Arabidopsis thaliana: one gene and its partners. The protein of the gene in region 4 interacts with the protein of the main gene of each other region in a pairwise test. Each region holds a gene or a part of one and is shown on either strand. Other genes may lie near its edges. The genes, in order: LSU2, GSK1, SK32 and AT3G60200.

What was found.
Region 1: the proteins of AT3G60200 (region 4) and LSU2 interact in a two-hybrid assay, tested with the Arabidopsis thaliana proteins (one large-scale study listed by BioGRID).
Region 2: the proteins of AT3G60200 (region 4) and GSK1 interact in a two-hybrid assay, tested with the Arabidopsis thaliana proteins (one large-scale study listed by BioGRID).
Region 3: the proteins of AT3G60200 (region 4) and SK32 interact in a two-hybrid assay, tested with the Arabidopsis thaliana proteins (one large-scale study listed by BioGRID).

The regions. Positions count from the first base shown.
Region 1 is NC_003076.8:8,442,731-8,446,100, forward strand, and holds LSU2 (response to low sulfur 2), read right to left. Parts: upstream 1,372-3,370; 5' UTR 1,027-1,371; coding exon 742-1,026; 3' UTR 549-741; downstream 1-548. UniProt on the Arabidopsis thaliana protein: May be involved in defense responses monitoring. Probably implicated into osmotic stress signaling.
Region 2 is NC_003070.9:1,945,027-1,951,391, reverse strand, and holds GSK1 (GSK3/SHAGGY-like protein kinase 1), read right to left. Parts: upstream 4,647-6,365; 5' UTR 4,533-4,646; coding exon 4,428-4,532; intron 3,270-4,427; coding exon 3,177-3,269; intron 2,964-3,176; coding exon 2,904-2,963; intron 2,819-2,903; coding exon 2,546-2,818; intron 2,457-2,545; coding exon 2,382-2,456; intron 2,308-2,381; coding exon 2,251-2,307; intron 2,078-2,250; coding exon 1,937-2,077; intron 1,826-1,936; coding exon 1,775-1,825; intron 1,668-1,774; coding exon 1,572-1,667; intron 1,455-1,571; coding exon 1,371-1,454; intron 1,244-1,370; coding exon 1,142-1,243; intron 1,062-1,141; coding exon 975-1,061; 3' UTR 542-974; downstream 1-541. Other genes in the region: ARA-2 (Ras-related small GTP-binding family protein), read left to right, coding at 1-303; AT1G06380 (Ribosomal protein L1p/L10e family), read right to left, coding at 5,504-6,268. UniProt on the Arabidopsis thaliana protein: Phosphorylates BSK1, BSK3, BSK5, BSK6, BSK8 and BSK11 in vitro. May mediate extracellular signals to regulate transcription in differentiating cells.
Region 3 is NC_003075.7:293,085-299,464, forward strand, and holds SK32 (shaggy-like protein kinase 32), read right to left. Parts: upstream 4,396-6,380; 5' UTR 3,919-4,395; coding exon 3,856-3,918; intron 3,578-3,855; coding exon 3,332-3,577; intron 3,253-3,331; coding exon 3,160-3,252; intron 3,016-3,159; coding exon 2,956-3,015; intron 2,868-2,955; coding exon 2,595-2,867; intron 2,467-2,594; coding exon 2,392-2,466; intron 2,306-2,391; coding exon 2,249-2,305; intron 2,169-2,248; coding exon 2,028-2,168; intron 1,904-2,027; coding exon 1,853-1,903; intron 1,773-1,852; coding exon 1,677-1,772; intron 1,598-1,676; coding exon 1,514-1,597; intron 1,409-1,513; coding exon 1,306-1,408; intron 1,109-1,305; coding exon 1,032-1,108; 3' UTR 504-1,031; downstream 1-503. Other genes in the region: BSK3 (BR-signaling kinase 3), read left to right, coding at 1-12.
Region 4 is NC_003074.8:22,247,162-22,251,076, reverse strand, and holds AT3G60200 (uncharacterized protein), read right to left. Parts: upstream 2,186-3,915; 5' UTR 1,758-2,185; coding exon 840-1,757; 3' UTR 509-839; downstream 1-508. Other genes in the region: DL1E (DYNAMIN-like 1E), read left to right, coding at 3,426-3,572, 3,662-3,725, 3,813-3,915.

The DNA of each region.
Region 1 (3,370 bases), on a different chromosome or scaffold from region 4:
TCATCAGTTTCCAAGTCTCTCCAAAGACAATTCTAGTTATACTTCAAAAAAAAAAACATTATAAATATTTGTTTGTTTTAATTGCATCACAATTTATGAAAAATTAAAGGGTTTTGGTTAACAAAAAAAAAAGACTAGACTTGTTTGCCCACGTCAGGTCACCTGGTTCTGTCAGAAACTAGATTTGTTCAAAAACAAACCCTTTGTTTATATTTGTACATAGTACACTGGCGTTGGATCCGTATATTCGTTTCCCTTTTTTCTCCCAAAAGCAAACCAAGTTCTCCAATTTTACTATGTCAAACTCTAGAAAGACCAAAACCACTGTTGCAATGTCAATGATTCAGTAGAATTCAAACACTTCTTCATATAATACGCAAAAATCTAAAAGCAAAATCTTTATTTGTAATTTGGTCATTTCACATATAATAATAGGAAACATGACCATAATTGCTTTAAATTTTCTTTCTGTTAAAGTAATTTACACGTCTTACAAACAAAATTCCATTTTAGTCAAACCAAACATCGAATATCATTTACTTTAAATTGTTTTCAAGACTTTTCATTCATCATTAATCGCAAAAATCAATCGGTAACAACATCGATTTTTTTTTTTGATTGAAACTTCCATATTTGTTTTAAAGACAACTCTACATATTGGCATTGATATGAGCCGATAAGAGGATACATCAAACAATCTAAAAAACCTATCTTTCTTTAAAAGCAAATATCTATCTAATTCTACGGAGAGGCAGAGGCAGAGTCTGAAGAAAGACGAGAGAGCTCGTTCATGAGAAAGATGATACGAGAGTGGTAATCACGAGCCTGGTCTAAAGATTCTGCTTCAAGCTCGGCTAGCTGTGAGCAGAGACGCTCCTCCGCTTCTTCCGCCACCTGTGTCCGCCGCCACAACTGCAACATCTCTTTCTTCATCTCCTCCACAGCTTTCTCCATCTCTCCGTTCTTCCGTCGTAGCTCGTCCACTTCGGAAGCCGCCACCGTCACATAGTTTCCTCCTTTCCCCATTTTTAAGAACTTTTAAAGGTTTTCTAAAGATTTCTCCTTTTGGTTATTTTGGTCACTTTGAGTTTTTTTGTGTTTTGTTTTGGTTCTTGAACGTTCCTTATTAATAGGCGTCTTTGAGACTGGGGTTTGGGTGGGTTTTATGTCTAGGTTCAATGTATCTATATCTCTTCTTCTTCTTTCTTATTTCTGGTGAGTTATTTTCTTCCTCTAGATTCTAGAACATTTTCTCTTTTAAATTATTTTCGATATACACGTTGGGTCCAATTAATATTTTGGAATATTTTAGTGGTACCATATAATTGTTTTATTGGTTAGAGACAAATTTGTTTTTAGAGGAGACACGAGATAAGTTATAATAAAAATTTATCAATCAATATAGTAAAATGTATTGGTTCAGTCATAATAACTCTTGTCATTTCAATAATACATATGGCAACGGATTTAAAATGAAAAATATTTGTTTAAACTGATATTTTTTTTTTAAAATGGAGTATTTGCTTTCTAAGAATGAATAAATTTCTTTGTCTAATTGAATAAAGTGGATTAAAACATATTTTGGACCATTTTACTTTGATCTAATTGCTATACATATAAAGTAATGAATATTTCATATTTACTGGACCATAAATACTAGTAATTCAATCTATTTATACAAGTCTAAACTGTAGCTCGTAAGTAAAAGTAATGAACAATTCTTACATTATAGCCCCAATGAGCTGTCAATTTCATCAAAGACAACTATATGTTAATAGATCATAATAATACATCGTCTTAATAATGGTCCTAAACTCAGGAATAAGTTGTGCAAATATGTTTTCATATACGCATGTAAAGAAAAGATTGTGACTATTATTGAAATAACATGAGTTATATTTATATCCACCAACTCTTTATCCTCAAAGAGGATATATATATCCGCTGTATTATGCTAACATTACCATTCTTGCACTTGAAAAATGACTTTAATTAATTGAACATTTTATTACCATGAATTGAACAAAATTTCTGAAAATTGCTTCTGAAGCATCCAATTTTCAAGATTTTATATATTCATTCTAAAAACTTAATTCAATAAACTCATGTAACAACAAACTAATCGTTGAATATATTTTCTTCTCGAGAACGTTGACTGGACACTAAAAGAATGAAAGAGTAGTACTATTTGAATTTTCAATGAAACCCCACTTATTTCAAAGGGGAACTTCTTTTTTTTCTTTTTTCTTTCTTTTCTGTTTTGCTATTTCATAGAATATAGAGAAAATAATTGTTTTCCACTATTTCTCTTAATTGCTAAAAGGCATGTAGAAATCATTTTCTCACCTTTATATTTTCCACTAATATATTCCGCCAATTATAGCCATTAATTAACTTGGAGCAAAGCCTTTGTCGATGTAACCCACATTCCCACTTCTTTCTCTTAACTGGAGTATTGGACAATATCTCCCAAAGTCAAGGGCTGTCACGATTATACAGCTATTCTTGTATAGTTAAAGTTACGGCTACGATTCATAGTTCTTAAATTACTTATTAGCTATTTCTTTAGTATCTTTATTGGTGTGTATGGGGAAAACTAAGAAGACTTTGGTTATGAATGGTGTCATGAAGCATAATAAAATAATACGGTGCGGTTTGATTTTACTCTTGGTCATGTTTTTGTGAATCATATTTGGACAACACACCAACCTCAAGAAGTAGGGTGATTCAAGTATAAACTGAAAAATCATAAGCGTTAAATACCGATTAATACAATCATATATATATTTCGAAACTTCAAAACATTAGTCAAAATTTGATAACTCATTTATCCGTTACTCGCACCAAACTAATTAAGATATCTATTCAGCTTTTGTTCTATTCGTTCTACACCATTTATTCTTTACAAACTACATCTGTTATGCTTTATTTGTCTGTTCGTTTTGTTCTATACGTCACCTTATGATGTGTATCTTCGTTTTCCTAGCAAAGGTTGGTCCAAAAAAATTGATGGCCCGAATCAATATTGTTTTTTTCTCTCTTTTTAGCTATAATTCAAAATCTTAAACAATATTGGTTATAAAATTATGTAAAGTTGTGTTAAATATATTGGAAAACACAGAGGGACCGGTCACCAACTGTTGAAATCTTTAGTTGGAATATGCTCTATGGATGCTGATCAGTGACCACTATCTAATTGACTAAAAAAATAATCATCATTCATCCAAAATATCCTAAATAGATTTTAAAACACCCAATTACATCAGCAACTATATATGTTACGTGAGCAACAGCGCTATACATGTAGAAAATAATTTCCAGTTTTTATAACATTACAAGATCACCATAAAAAGTACGGATGTTAAAATGG
Region 2 (6,365 bases), on a different chromosome or scaffold from region 4:
CCAAACATAGTGGTGATGCTTATAGGGAACAAGTGCGATCTGCGTCACTTGGTGGCAGTCAAAACAGAAGAGGCTAAAGCCTTTGCTGAGAGAGAATCCCTCTATTTCATGGAGACTTCAGCTCTAGACGCAACCAATGTTGAAAACGCATTCACGGAAGTGCTCACTCAGATCCACAAGATAGTGAGCAAAAGAAGTGTTGATGGAGGAGGAGAGTCGGCTGATTTACCGGGAAAAGGAGAGACGATAAACGTTAAAGAAGACGGATCGGTTCTTAAGAGAATGGGTTGCTGCTCTAACTAGAGTGGGGGGATTGTAGATTTGGCTTGATTTGGTTAGGGTGAGACAACAAATGATAATCTCTTTGGGTCTTGCAATCAAAAAAGAAATAAGAAACGATTACTTTTAAGATCATGTGTATGCTTTGGTAACTTTGGCCTGTAAGGTCCTTTAAAATTTAAGTACATGATTGGTAATTTGTTTTCAACACTCCCACCACTTGTAATTTGTAAACTTGTAATAAACTGAAGAAATGCAAATCATCACCTACGTAACATTTCGAAAATAGATCTAGCGACTTTTAATTTAAGAGGATGATTATTTATCCCTCTAGTCTTTTGTGTTGAGAGAAGAAAACAAAAAAACATCTGTAGCTAATCTTTTGGACATGACATGGTTTAATATTATCACCTCGTTTTTCTTTTGTCTCTACGTATCTGTCAGAATTGTTTTACAGACAAAAACATATACAAAAATACACGAGGAACAGTGTCTCTCTCCACTCTCCAGGCTACGGAATAAAAAAAAAAAAAACGCAATTATCAGCATCTGATTTCTCAAAAAGCTGAATATGACTTTACTACGGGTATAGAAGCTGATAATAGTCGTGGTTAATATACTGTTGAACCTGTCAACTATCAAATAAAAGTAGTAAACCTGCTTTTCTCCTCTTTCTCTTCAGACATGCACAGTTTTTAACTGTTTTGTAATCCTGTGCTCATTTGTCGTCTCACATGCTCAGGTATTAGCCTGTTGATTAGCTCCATTGAAGCTCCACCTAACTGTTTCCACATCCAAAGAACAAATTGGGTTATGTTGAAGTTCCACTAAAGAAACATCATCCTTTGCTATTGATTTTTACCTCTTGTTTGAAATTGAACAATGGCGGTAATGGACGACCATTTGGAAGACGGGCGTTTGGCTCTCGGAGTTCATTGAAAAACGGATGAGCACATGCTTCGAGCTAAAAATAGACAGAGAACAAGACAAATGTTAAAATGAATCTTAGCTTTATCCAACACTTGGAAGATTCAAAAAGAGTTATCACTGACGACTACTTTCGATTATAAAAAAAAGAGGGAGATACTGACCGCAGTGCAGCGTAGACTTGGTGAATATTGAAGAAGCCGAGATGCAAGGTCTATTGCTTCTGGAGGCATCCGTTTATGAAAAACCTGGAGGTCAAGGGTACAGTATATGGTTGATGCTATAAATGAATCGCTTCAATGTATACTGTGTAGGTAATGAGTTCAGTAATTGCTTAACCAGGAACAAAAGGTGAGATGAACTACCTTGTGCCAAGGGTGAGCTTTGATTTGTGGGAACCTAAAATCTGTGTAGTTCGGGTTCATACATCGAATTTCTTCACGAGTTGGAGTACCAAGAACCTAAAACAAGGTAGCAAGTGTACTTATGGTAACATATTTACTAGATTCTAGTCTAATACCAAAGACAAAAAAGAGCACATCCATTAGTCTAATAAAGGAGACTTCACCTTTATGATCTCCACAAGCTGATCAACTGAATTTTCTCCTGGAAATAACGGCTGTAGAGAGAGAGAGAGACTGGCTTAATATAACATTGGGTGCGCACTTTTTGCATTTTGCAGAGACTCTTTATTTAACAAGGTAATTAACGCATAAAAATCCACACTAACCTGGCCCAGAAGAAGCTCTGCCAGTACACAACCAGCAGACCATATATCTATGGATGCTGTATACTCTGTGGCGCCAAAGATCAGTTCTGGAGCACGATAATAACGGGAGCAGATATATGATATGTTTGGTTCACCTTTGACCTAATAGTGAATTACCAAAAATTTAAAAGGGTTACCAAAACAGAGAACATGCTGCTCGCACTTAATGGTATAACTCACACTTATATGGTAGCTCAGTGAACTAGATGCGTAGATACATAACCAAGCCGAAAACACACAAAAAAGGTGAGATAATGAAAAGATAACACCCTTACCAATACTTTTGCACTTCCAAAATCACACAGCTTAACCTGATGGGTCAAGGGATCAACCTACAGTATGCACCAGAAAGTGAGATCCAGAAATAGTCAAGATTACAAACCACATGGCATGCTAGATAACGTACCAAGAGATTTTGTGGTTTCACATCTCTGTGGCAAACACCGGGAACAGTATGGATGTAAGCCAAACCTCTAAAGATCTGCACAATAGATATTTCAAATCAGTTTCAGAGTAAATTCTAATAAATTATAATATTTGTGAGAACTAACTGCAAATAACAGTACATACTTGATATGTGTAAAGCTTGACATAGAAAATTGGCATCCTCTGATTAGAACTAGTATAGTGCCTCAAAACCCGGTATAAAGTCTCAGGTACATACTCCATAACAAGGTTGAGGAAGAGCTCATCTCTACTCGTTGTAGAGAAGAAACAGTGCTTCAAGGAGATGACATTTGGGTGATCCATTGGTCGCATTAGTTGCAACTCACGGTTTTTATAGCGTCGATCTTGCAAGACCTTTTTAATGGCTACTGATTCTCCAGTTTCCAAGCATTTCGCCTAAAATCGTAAATTTCAGACTTGATCAGAAAGAAAGAAGAGAATTTATGTCCTGGAACCGCTAGTACAGAGAAGCACAAAATACCTGAAAAACAATCCCGAATGAACCTGTTCCAACAACCCGCTCAGCCATGTAACTAATGGTCTGTAGGGGACAGAATGAAGATCATGTAAGGGAGAGATGAATTAATTTGACTTGAAAAAGGGTTTTAATGGGAAAGTAACACTTGCTGGAGCATTTGATGCGAAATGAATAACCCAGACCCCGCAGAAACCTTACACATGGTACTGTGCTATAACCGTAAGTGTTAACTACTAGTTAGTTATCTAAGAGATTTTGCAAACATTAGCATCAAACCTGCTTTGGTTCGCCGTTTTTGCCTCCAATAGTAGTGGAAATGATATGACCAGTAACAGCGTCATTTCCCTCAATAACAGCTGCAGACATTTCCTGCAATCCACCTCACATATTAGTATAGACATTAAACTATTTTGATCAACTACAAGGTGGAATAGAGATGGCAAGCATTTACTGCATCCGATTATTTCAACAAACCTCAGGATAGGTATGACTGTATGAGAATGCTGTTATTGCTATTATACAAGTGGTCGGAATTAACTTATATTGAAAACGTGAAGCTAACACATATAAAATGTACCAACTAACCAGTTGTCAAGCCAATAGAAGCACTCAAGCAAGATGCAGAAAGAATAAGAAAAATAAAGTAAAGCATGGGTTAACCAGAGGTAAACAATGGTGATAGAAGTTCAAAAATGTAGTGATTTTAGACGTCAAACAATTTATGGGTATTAGATATAGAACAAAAAAAAAAATCATAGATACAAAATACAAGTCAATGGAAGAAGTTCTGCCAGAGTGAAGGACAAGCCATAAGACAAAATTCAGAATAAATGTCGATGGCAAATAGAAAAGAGAGAGAGACAGAGACAGAGAAGCAATGGGCCAAGAAAACCATAACTAAAGGAATACTCCGAAACCTACCGAGAGTGAATTCAGAGATCTACAAGTAAACTGTACTTTGTAGAATGAACAGTGTTGAAATAAATAATATCCAAACAAGCAAATTGTTGTACTTGAAAGTGAACAGTGTTGAAACAAACAATCGAAATATCCAAAAACAAATATGAAGGGGAAATATTCAACCTAGTTTACTGAAAATGTAAGTTTCCCAAGCGCAAGAAACTATCTCAAATTATTTTACACTAAATTTTTCAACAAGATTCGAAGATTACTGCTACTTAGATCTCCGGTAGAGAAGGTTGAAGTAGTAGCTGGGAGATACCAAGAGTAATCTAGCTACTGCATGCATACAAATGAAGTAAAAATCACAGTCTCCTATCAAAACGCCTCGTCGGAGAAAGAAACAAAAAAACTCTCCGGTGAGCTCAGATCAATACAAGCGACGAACAAACACAAGAGCACGAGAATATAGATCGATTCGACTGAACTAAGACATAGAACAAAGAAAGTAGGAGCTAGATCGGAGTAGATCTAGAACAGCCACCAAACGATAATTTCAAATGCACTGTTTACCAAACACAGACGGTAACAGTAACACACAAAACAAAGAGACGGGGAGAAATAAACCTTATCAGAATCCAATTCAGGACGGCGTTTCAAAGCGTCGCCGTCGTGAAGCTGCAGCGGCGGAGCAAGAGCATGAGGCTGAGGCCCCAATGGTAATGAGGCCATGTGCTTTTTTACTCTTTTCTCTCTCAACCACTGAACAATGAGTAAAGTCTAATTTTTCCTCTCTCTTTGCTTCTAAATTTCAGAAATGGTTCAAAGACAATGGAGGACCCACGGAAGACTAGAGCGCGTGAATGTAACGGTCCAATGAGAAAACTACTTTTTAATTGATAAAGCACTGAAAAATTCTGATAAACACTTCCTTAGCATTTAATGATAACTAAATTACTAAGTTGAGTTAGAACTCCATTAAATATTCTAACTGAATAATAATGGTATCAAATGAATGAATACTCCAATCATATTTCCCAATTTAGATATTAAGCTTAACTTAAAGAGACTTTTCTTTGTCCCTTTAGCCTGAAGTGTTGCCTTTGTAAGACAATAGTTAACGATAGATTCTTTTTCATTACACTAACCAACAAAAGAATTACAGTTAGCATTCATACAAAGATAAAATTTAAGTTGCAAAGGGCTAAAAAAAATGACGATGAGACTAGTTTACGAAAATGTAAGATTAACAAGCAGTAGTGGGGAACGTAAACTATACAAAAATAAGACTCTGAGTCAAAGGGATTGGAAAGTGAAAAGATATATAACCGTTACTGTGATATCGAACAAGAACAATTGTCAAACAAAGAAAGATCAATGGAATCTACCTTTGTGGAGAGTAATTCAATAGAGTAGGAAAACTAATATTCTTTCCAATACATCACCAAAAACCATCTTTTTTAGAGAATTCATGTGACTATATATCTGCATAACAAAAGAAGATACCAGTAAAATCAATCAAAAGACCCACTCATGGAAATTTGTATTAAAACCATCTGTTTCACTCTAATCAATCTAGACAGTTTTGTTCAGTCTAGGCATTATCTTAAACATTACAGCATCACAAATTCCACTAAGAAAACAAACCAAAACTTGTGACTCACTGGAACCAGATCATCCATCAGCTTCTTTAAACAAATTCATCAAGCAACTGATTGATAAACAGGCAATGCCAAGCTCTCAAGTAACTTGAGATGAAACAATTTAACATTCTTCCATCTACCAGGAACTAAATCACCAATCCCATTCATGGCCGCTACAACATTCTCTGCAATCTCGTTCCTTCCCATTGACAACTTCGCTACTTTAACAACACTGCAAGTACCTGTACCAACGAAGAACAAAGCTGATTCACAAGCTTTTTCGATCTGCTCTTTCCAACTACCATGCCTTAAGTTAATCGCAATCGGAGTCTTATTCTTCTTAACAAACTCTTTCCCCAACAGCTTCGGCAACATCGGCATTAGCCTCCTCTCCGCGAAATACAACTCGAATCGCTTCTCCTCCTCTAATTTGCGTAAATCGGATTTCAATTTGGAGACTTTAATAACTGTGGTGATTGGAATCTTCTCTGCTTCGATCTTCTTCAAAGCCGCTTCCTTTGTGATTTTGTTCTTGTGTTTGTCGTCGATGATCAAACAGAGCTCCGGCGGATCTTCGGCGACCAGATCGATGAGAGGATGAGGAAGAGGGATCATCAAGGGGTTAGTACGATCCAACTGAGGGATTCTCTTCAGTGTCACGATTAGATAGACGAAACCGTCGTTCTCGAGTGATTCAGAGTTCTCGGTCTTGGATTTGGAGTCCCACCATTTTAGCAGAGACTTCACGGCTCTGTTAACGTTCTGCGGGTCAACCTTCGACTGGTGTCGCTGCGGAAGTGCAGCCGTAGTAGTAGTAGTACTCATTCTCCGGTGAGAAGACGGCGCAATGAACACAGGTTACGTTTGCGGAATTAGGGTTCTGAGCAAAAATTATAGGGTTTACGATTTTTTTCTTTTTTTT
Region 3 (6,380 bases), on a different chromosome or scaffold from region 4:
CGAGTGAAGTAAGATATATAGCATTTAAGATTTTTCTTGTTGGGAAAGATGAAAGAACATCTTACCAAGTAAAAGGGGTATGAATCTTTTGAGCACAATGATGGGAAAACACTCAAGAGCAATGCAAAACTATAGACCCTCTTCTTCTGGTTGTATGAGGTGTTTTGCCCTTCTTGTGCCTCTTTTTATGGGCATTGAATTGAAGGAGTCATTTCCTTTATTAGCTTTGAAATCCATTTCCTGAAACTTTATTGTACTAAAAAACCCATTATTGCAGAAACCAAAAGAGGGTTTTGTTTCTTTTGATCTATAGGTCACACAGACTAAACATGTATGAACTCTTGTCTTTTGACTAAAGAGATATTCGACAGTGAAAGGGGTTTTTGTGGTTAAATTCCAATAGTTGAGTAAATTATTCAAAATTTTAACCAAACACAAATTCGTGTCAAAGTTACAGGACTTTCGACTCCTACAGTATAGTTTAATTACTCGTCCGATTGTGAAGTTAGTTAACTCTTCATTCATCTTCCTCGCTTTTCAACTTTAATTAAACAACATGTGCATTTCAGTTAAATAGCTTACCTGGAATCTGTGCCAGTCCTGAGATACAATAGAAAAATGTCGTTAAGAGTTTATTTGTTCACCCAAAAACCATCTTAGAGAGGAACATGAAACGGAATCTTAGCTTGCAATATTAGGGCAAGGGAAAATGATCTTGATGGATTACAAACACATAAAAATGATACACCAAACATATAAGGGGGGTCAGATTTGTGGAAAAAAAAACAAAAAAATGAAAGTGAAGGTGAAAATAACAAGGATAGCAAATTGAGAGAAAAGCCAGTCAGAAGAAGAAGAAGAAGCTTCATGACCCCAGTTATTTCACACCTCATCAGGTCCCGGCGTACAGATTTCCAATCTCTCCTCCGGCGACAAAAGCTTGGAAGCAGAAGTGGTTCAAAATTGATGTACACACTGCAGTAAATAGAGGGAGAGAAAGAAAGCTGGATTTGGACACGCTATAAATGATCCTAAGAGCTACTTCCCGTTCCCTGGCAATGTGCTGGAATTAGACGCTGTCGCAGCTCTGTTGATGCACCCGCAAGTTCTGAATAGTCACATACAATGGCAACAAATCAATGTGACAGAACCAAATGTAGACCCAATCCGTCAAAACATTTCTTGTATTCTGCTGCAATTTCTACTCTTCACATATGATTGTGAAATCTAAACAAAGTCGGCTAATGATAACTTCACAGTTTTTGTAAGGATGAAGCTAAGGTAAAAGATAATATATGTACTGACCTTGGGCAGTGAAGTTAAACAATGGAGGCAGTGCTCTTCCATTTGGCAGTGAAACATTTGGATCCCGTAAGTCATCAAAGAAGGGGTGTGCACAAGCTTCCAACTTAACAAATGGAAAAAAAGTGTTTTGTAGAATTTGAGTTAGAAAATTCCAAATCAGCCAAGGAGATTATATAGTTTTGTGGTGTCCAGCAGGATTTAGTCTTACTGCAGTGCAACGAAGGTTTGGTGAGTACTGAAGGAGTCTTGAGACGAGGTCTACTGCTTCAGGTGGCATTCGCTTGTGGAAAATCTGAAGAGTTATATGCTACATTAAATTTCATTTGAACAAGCACACGCACCAAAGAGGCACCTGCGATTATTTAACAAACCTTGTGCCACGGGTGAGCTTTGATTTGAGGAAACTTGAACTCTGTGTAATTCGGATTCATACACCGTATTTCTTCTCTTGTAGGCGTCCCAAGAATCTGGTAGATGTACAGATGAGTAAACTAGTAAATTAAATATAGAAGAGAGATGAAGGAACACGAGGGATCAGGTTAAGTACCTTGATTATCTCCACCAGCTGATCAATGCCACTTTCCCCGGGAAACAGTGGCTACGGGTAGAAAATCAACAGTTGTTATCAGATTAAATGTTATTTCGAAGTAATAATGAAAACTGATCAATCAAAATAAAATGGTTCATCATAACCGAAACTCTACAATGTATAATATACTTACTTGACCAAGTAAAAGCTCTGCCATGACACAACCGCCGGACCACATGTCAATGGCATTGGTATACTCTGTCGCCCCAAATATAAGTTCTGGGGCCCTGTAGTACCGGGAGCATATATAGGATATGTTAGGTTCACCGGGTACCTGAGACGCAAAGGGTGTTAGCCATCATTATTCAAATGATAACTCATCTCCAAGAACTCATCAAAAAAAAATGAACATACCAACATCTTTGCGCTTCCAAAATCGCATATTTTTAATTGATGAGTTTGGGGATTAACCTATGAAAGCCACATCATAAGAGAATCAATGAATTATCCTTTCATACGTCTTACCAACCTTTAAGCAGAAATTATTCACACTATACCAGTAGATTTTGTGGCTTAATGTCACGGTGACACACCCCAACCACGCGATGTAAGTAGTTCAGCGCACGGCAAATCTGATATCCAACAAAGCAACAGAAATGACAAAATCAGCATAAGTGAAATTATAAATTTCCTATGTATTTGTAGCTTTATGCTACACAGATTACTAGAAACGAGTAACCGGAGAGCTAATAGAACTCACCTGATAAGTATAGAGCTGAACAAAGATAATTGGCATATGCTGATTCATTTTGGTATAGTGCTTCGATGCTCTGTATACAGTTTCGGGAACATACTCAAGGACAAGGTTGAGATACAGCTCATCCTTGTCAGTTGTTGAAAAGAAAGAATGCCTCAGCCGCACAACGTTGGGATGGTCTTGCAAACGCATGATCTGAAGTTCTCTGTTCTTGTATCTTTTATCCTGCAGAACCTTCTTAATTGCAACTTGTTCACCCGTTTCCAGGCACTTGGCCTATCCAAAAATCAGACAGAAAGTCAAATTCTGGGAACACAAATAGTTAAGGATTAGTTATGTTCCTGCTATAAGAATTTCCACCTACCTGGAACACTACTCCGAATGAGCCGGTTCCAACCACTCGCTGGGCCATGTATGAGATAGTCTGAAACAAGAAAGAAAGAGTAAATTAAAGATACACCCAACAGAAGTGAAAAGAGAAACAATCTTTTCATAAAAGAAATGACTATCATGATTAATAGCTTTTCTCAAACACAACGGCAATCAGAAAAAAAGTTAGTTGAATGACCTGCTTTGGCTTTCCATCTCTACCCCCAACTGTCGTCGTAATAACTTGTCCCGTTTCGGTCCCACTGCCGTTTACAACAGTTGTTTCCATATCCTTCACAAGCCAAATGAAGATGTGAGCAGTGGCTAATGGAGATCACGACGACGATATATACATTGATTAAGCAACTCACCTTATCCTCGCGGTTGGCATTTCGCTCGTCTCTAATCTTCATTTCGATCATAACATCGGGAAGCTGATCATCCACGGGTTTTTCCGATACAGCAGGCACATTTGACGTTCCAGCAACACTTTCTTGTGACAAAACGTCAGCTTTCATCTCAAAACAAGAACTATTTTGGTCAACCTGCATTGGATCAACACACAAGTTGTCGTTCTCTTGATCCAGCTTAGCTCTCTTCAACGCATAGTCCCCACCCTAAAACAAACACCAAAAACACGAAATTAGTCAGGTCAACATCAACATACTCATCCAAAATCAATGAAACAGCAGAGATAATCAAATTCATACAAAAACATAAGCATTTACTAGAATATCTAAAACTAAAGATCTCAAAAGCTTAAATTTGACTTGTAACATACTATAAACGACATCAATCCGTAATTTCTGGATGAGAATGAGAGAAAAATTTCAACAATCAGAAATATAAAATCAATCTGATCTTGAAACGAGAGACATTGAAAATGGATACTTACAGGATCCGAAGAAATGGAGGTCCGACCCGAAGCAATGCTCTTGAGACGACGCATCACGTTCATCTTCGCTTTATTCACCAACCAAACGAGGAACAACTCAGAAACCCTAAATCTCCGAAAAACTTCACCAACACAGCTTCATGCGGAGAATAAATGAATCAACAGATTCAGATATTTCAAATTCGAATAACTCCGAAAGCAAAACCAAAAATCTAAGTTTTTCGATTCTTCTTCAAACGAAAAATCTGGGGAAAGGAAGAATCTCCTTCGTTCTTCTTCGAGCTTCTTCGGTTTCTTCTTCTCTTTCTTCACGACCCAACCCAGGTGGAATCTTTCTCTCTCTCTCGTGGGCAAAGCCAATCATGCCAGCCTCGTTCTCTTTCTCTATCTCTCTCTACTCTTTTTTTGGTCAAACATTGACTCCTCACCGTTGATTTATCGCAGCAGCTCATCCGACGGGTTAGGATGAATCCGCCCGATTTCGACAAGCTGTGATTACTAAAGTACCCCTGTATTGTTTGTCTATTTACGTATCCCGGGATTAGGCAAAAGGATTTGGGGGTTTTGAATGATTGCATCTAAGCCCACGCGGAATATGCGGGCACTGTATTATTTTCATTTGACCATCTTTGACCACTTCCCTCTTTTTGCTCCTGCAACAGATAATTTTAGTAATTTCTTACTGTTTTTAGACATTTTTAATAATGTCTCTGTTCAAAATTTTAAACTATTAATTATCATCATCCTATGAGGTAATCTATAAACAATTCAAGTAATCTATTAGATTGAGAAACGAAGTAAAATAAAACATATATTGGTTAGTTTACTATCTGAGGAATGTTAATGAGGATGTGGTTATTACTGATTGAACCATTGTCTTATGGGAAAAGATGTCAATTAATCCCCCAACTTTCAAAAAATGGTCATTTTATACGTCAACTTCGTATGCTGCCGTTTAAAACATGAACTAAACGTTAACTAACTTTTAAAACATGATTATTCGTTAACCAGGCCAAAATAGACATGCCGTTATCAGTCATTAACGGAACTTCTAACTTCTGTTATCATCCGTTAACGACTTTATTAGTCAAGTTTTAAATTGTGGTCATTTTAAACATCGACTTTATATGTGGCCATTTTAAACATGAACTAAGAGTTAACTACCATTTAAAACATGAGAAATTCGTTGACCAAGCCAAAATAAACATGTTGTCATCATTCATTAAAAGAACTTATAACATTCATTATCACTTGTTAACGACTCTATTAGTATCCCTAAAATGACTTTGTTTTGAGAATAATCCAAAGAAAATCAGGATTGTTTTCTAAATGAAACTCCAGTTCCCCAAATCTATTTCTACAACCGCTCAAACAAGACGAACAATCTTATAATGAGTCTTCAATTTGCTTCCATGATTCCTTTTAAAATTTAAAACAAATATATAAACGAAAACACCTTTATTTGCTTCCAATTACTGGCACTGCGGTTATCTCTATATCAAACTATGTTCTTGGGTTCTGCTTAAAACTTTTTGATATGGAAATTTCATATGGAAAAAATCTTTATGTTCTTTCGATTATTCTCAAACGACGTTGTTTTGGATAGATTAGCAGTCATTAACGAGTTTCTAGGTTCTACTGATAAAGACATGTCTATTTTGGCCTGGTCAACGAATTTTTCATGTCTTAAATGGTAGTCAACGTTTACTTCATGTTTTAAATGGCCAAATAAGAAGTTGATGTTTAAAATGGCCACAATTTGAAACTTGACTAATAAAATTAACGGATGATAACGGACATTAGAAGTTCCGTTAATGACTGATAACGGCATGTCTATTTTAGTCTGGTCAACGAAAGATCATGTTTAAAAAATTAGTCAACCTTTAGTTCATGTTTTAAACGGCCACATACGAAGTTGATATATAAAATGACCATTTTTTGAAAGTTGGGGGATTAAATGACATTTTTCACTTGCCTTATGGGCTTATTAGTGCAGTATCAATCTAAAGTCTTTGCAAAATGAACGGATAAATAATGGCACATGATATTGTTGTAGGCCCAATTAATGTTATAAGATCTAGGAATCATTAGCCATAACGGGCCAGGGCTTTAAAATAAAGCCCACCACCGTACAGCTATTTAAATTCACTTGCTTACGTTTTTCTTTTCCTGTCTGCAACTTAAAAACAACATATTGAGAAAGAGAAAAGAACCAAACAAACAGAAGGGAGAAAACGACGGCGTAACGTCTGGTTCATCGCACCAGTCTGTCAAGGGAATGACGTGGCGCAACGAAAATGGCGGAATACGTAAGCCCCATATCATGCAAAGGAAGGAGACAAGGTATAGCATTAAATGAATGAATATGCCTGCAAAATACATTTAATGCTCCACGAGAGACAGCTTTTTTTTTTTTTTTAACTTGAAACGATACAGATCCCATCCAACATAACATCATCATCTCACAGTTCGCGTTTTCTAACCACAACACACCCCACGCGTGTGGCTTACTCGCGCTACATAAT
Region 4 (3,915 bases):
CTTTCGAGTTATTAGACAACTTTTATAAAGTTGAATTGAAAGCACTCTATGTCGTACTTGGATTTTTATTAAAAGTCGATAAAAGATATTTTGATACTTGTGTCATAAGCGATTCCAATATAGCTTTGTAGGTCTATGTGTTGAAGTGGACTAGAGAAGAAGGACTGTGAAACCCAAGATAAACTTTTCCAAGGTGATGACAAAAAATAAGTCAAAACTGTCGCACTCTTATTATTTATAGCCAGAAATTCATGGGTCAAATTTCAAAATCTAAGCACCCGCATTACTACTACTACTACTCAAAACCGTAATGCTTAGTGTAATGACATTTGAGTCTTTGACTATATGACATAATACATTTGAATTAATACTTCAGCACATATAGATTGACTAACCTGATTCGGTATTATTGGCACGGTTCATATAGGATCTTACCGCTATACGAACCCATACTGATTTTGTCCAATTTTTTTGGAATTTAGATCCGGTTTGATCAGGTTCCACGGTTCTACCAATCAATCGATCCGGTTTTATCTTGATTTCTTGTCCTAATAATCGGTAAGTAATTCTCATAAGTAAAAAAACAAGAACACACTACATTATTTCTCTTAATCTCCTAAGAACAATATATTTGGCCATTCAAACTCTACAATTACAATCAGAAAACATTACAATTTTTTATAACAAAAGTATTGTTTGAGCTATTTCCCATAGAGATTATTCACCACAAGCCATATAAAAAGCTTGATTTTGGCAAAATCCATCTTCAGAAAGCCGTAGTTTACTATCCAATAGTCAAACACGTTGACCAAAGACTAATCCCACCAAAATAAAAAAACTCAACGGCGGCGATCAACTCTACCTAAATCCACAAGCTTCTTCGATCTATTTGCACAAAACGACGCCGCTGCTGATATATGAGGCTTTTCCGGCACCGCCGTTACCTCCCCAGAATTACCAAACTCCGATGGAAATCTCATTTTCCGTTTAAACGGACAGTTAGGACTAGCTCTCACCAACGGACTCAAACAAAAAGCCATCCCCGACATGCTCTTCCCTATCCCCATCGCAATCTTCCTCCTTCCCGGAGTTTTCGTCGCCGGAGTTCTCCTCAATTCCTCGATTGATTCCGCCGACTGCTCCGGTTCCGTATCTCTTACAGGTGACATTCCTCTACAGTATATACGTTGAGGTCTACGCGCAGCGATAACGTCTTCGATGTAACACGCGGTGGTTGGTTGCTTTTTACGTCGACCGGTGGAGAGAATCGTCGAGATCCATGAACGTGAAGAGGAAGAAGAAGATGAAATCTCAGACGCGTCGCATGAGGAGAATCTAGGATTGTTGGATTTGGGATTGGTATCGAAATCTTCAGATCTAGCTCTGAATAGATTCGAGAATCTAGATACTTTTTTACCTTGTTTTGATTTATTTGATCGATTCGATTCGAAATCTTTGCATGAATATCCGACGAGATCTATCTGTGGCGTGGTAATGAATCTCCGATTAGAAGAAACTAAAGGATCTCCTCCACCGGCTCCGGCGTCGGATTTTCTACGGGTAACGTAAGGAGAAACAGAGCGAGGGAAAATCAAAAGCGGAGGATGATTATTGTTATTAGATTTCTTTGATTGATTATCTTCTACGGCGGCTGATACGGCGGCGGAAGCGGCGAGAGAGAGGAGACGTTCACGGAGGCAAGAAGCGCAAACGCCGTTGCTGCTGCTGAGATCGACGGTGTGTCTTTTACACCTCATCGGAGGAGAATTGAAGATAAAAGAAAAAGCTTTGATTTTTTTCGAAAGGAAGCTTTTTTTTTTTTGGGTTGGGCCGAGAGTTTCGGTGGTTATAGTGATGTGACAACCTGTAAAGATGAAGGAAGAAGAAAAGATCTGGTGGTAAAGATTTTGTCTTCTTCTCCTAAGATCTCTGTTTTGAGATAGGCTTAGAGAGAGAGAGATAGCATTCTATGTCGGAAAACCAAAAAAAAAGATAGATGAGAGAGAGAAACTAATTTATTTATCTAATGGAGATTTGTAAGCACAACATTTTGACAGATCATTTTATCACTAACCATTTCTTTAATGCAAAATTTAATTATGCGATGGTTAGTGATTCAATTGCAATTTTTGGTTCGTAATTTTGCCAACTTACAAAAAATTGATCTAACGCGCCATTATAGTTTCATAGTTGTAGAAGATAAAATCTAGTTATGGTTGACCTTTCTTTAATTCAATATACGGACCAATACCATTGGATTTGAATGGGATGTGTAGTGATTACCTCAGCCACTGACTTGAAACAATGATATAACTGTATAAATAAATAAAAAACCTAAAAGAGAAGCATGTGACGTTGGATGGTAAAAGCCGACAAGTATTAGGTGAAGACGAGCCATCGTCGTTTTCCACATATCTCACACGAATGTTCGTCCGTTTCTTCTACATATTGCCACGTGGTTTTCATATTTCATCAATAGGCCTTAACTTCATTATTGGGCTTTTAAAGCCTTCCTAAAGTCTCCTTGTCTATTGGGCCTGTCATGTGATAATCAATGATGTAATAAATAACGACAACCTATACTTAGTTTTTGCTTCTTCTTAGTTTGAATATGTTATGTTAGTTTGGTTATTTCAGTCATTTAGTTTGGTTTGGTTGATAACTAAATCATGATGTTGAGAGAAACTCATTGTTTTTGTGTTTATGTCTATGTTTATTGTGAAGAATGATTCATTATTTACCAAGTACTAAGAAATTCAAAATTTTCTAGAAATATTATTTTATGTTTGTGATTTCTAAAATAAAATCTAAAATAATTCAGACTGGATAACACAAAACCCATAAAAACTAGAGAACCGCTTGTATACATATAGCCTCCTACCCTCTTCCTGGACCTAACTTTATTATTGGGTCCTTTTAAAAGTCTTCTATATCTATTGGGCCTTCTAAACAATGTTGATTGTTGTTTCTAGACTTATTATTTTGTATTTGTGTGAGGGGTCCATGTGGAATTTCAAAATTCGAAAATTCAAACAGGTTACAAATATCTCAAATTAAAGGGACACAAATCTTATCTTCATTATTTTAGATTTGACCGTCTAGAAAAGTAAGAACCAGACCGTACCGAACCAAAACGAACCAGAGCCAGACGACTCCTTAACGGCGGCTAAGCTATCTGTAAACCGACCGAACCACACAGCCACAGGCACACAAATCAAACCTTCTAGAAATCAAAGAGAGACATTTATTCTCTAAATTCATTTTCCTATTTTGCCCCTACGAATATTTTTCTTCTTCGTCTCTCTCTCTCAGCTCTTGAAGTCTTTGGTCTGTTGGCGAATTTTCAAGCAGCTTTCTAATTCTGAACTGAAAATTTCGTCTTTGGAACTTTATATTCTCTCATCTGAAACTGAAGGAGAAGGAAGATGACGACTATGGAGAGTTTGATTGGGTTAGTTAATAGGATACAGAGAGCATGTACCGTACTCGGTGACTATGGTGGTGGAACTGGAAGTAACGCTTTCAATTCTCTCTGGGAAGCTCTTCCAACCGTCGCCGTCGTCGGTGGTCAGGTGATTTCTCCGGTTGAAATATCTTTGACTTCTTCCTAGGTTTTCTCTCTGGTGACTCTTCAACTTACTTTTTTTTTGGGTTTGTGCAGAGTTCTGGGAAATCTTCGGTTCTTGAGAGTATAGTTGGGAGAGATTTTCTTCCTAGAGGATCTGGTTTGTGAAAATTTTCCCTTTTCTCTTATGTTTGTATATAAAGCAAGGAGGAGCTTTGGTTTTGAGGAAGAAGTATTGTTTGTGCAGGTATCGTTACGAGACGGCCTTTAGTGTTGCAGCTTCATAAGACTGATGATGGAACAGAGGAGTATGCAGAGTTCCTTCATCTTCCCAAGAAGCAATTCACAGA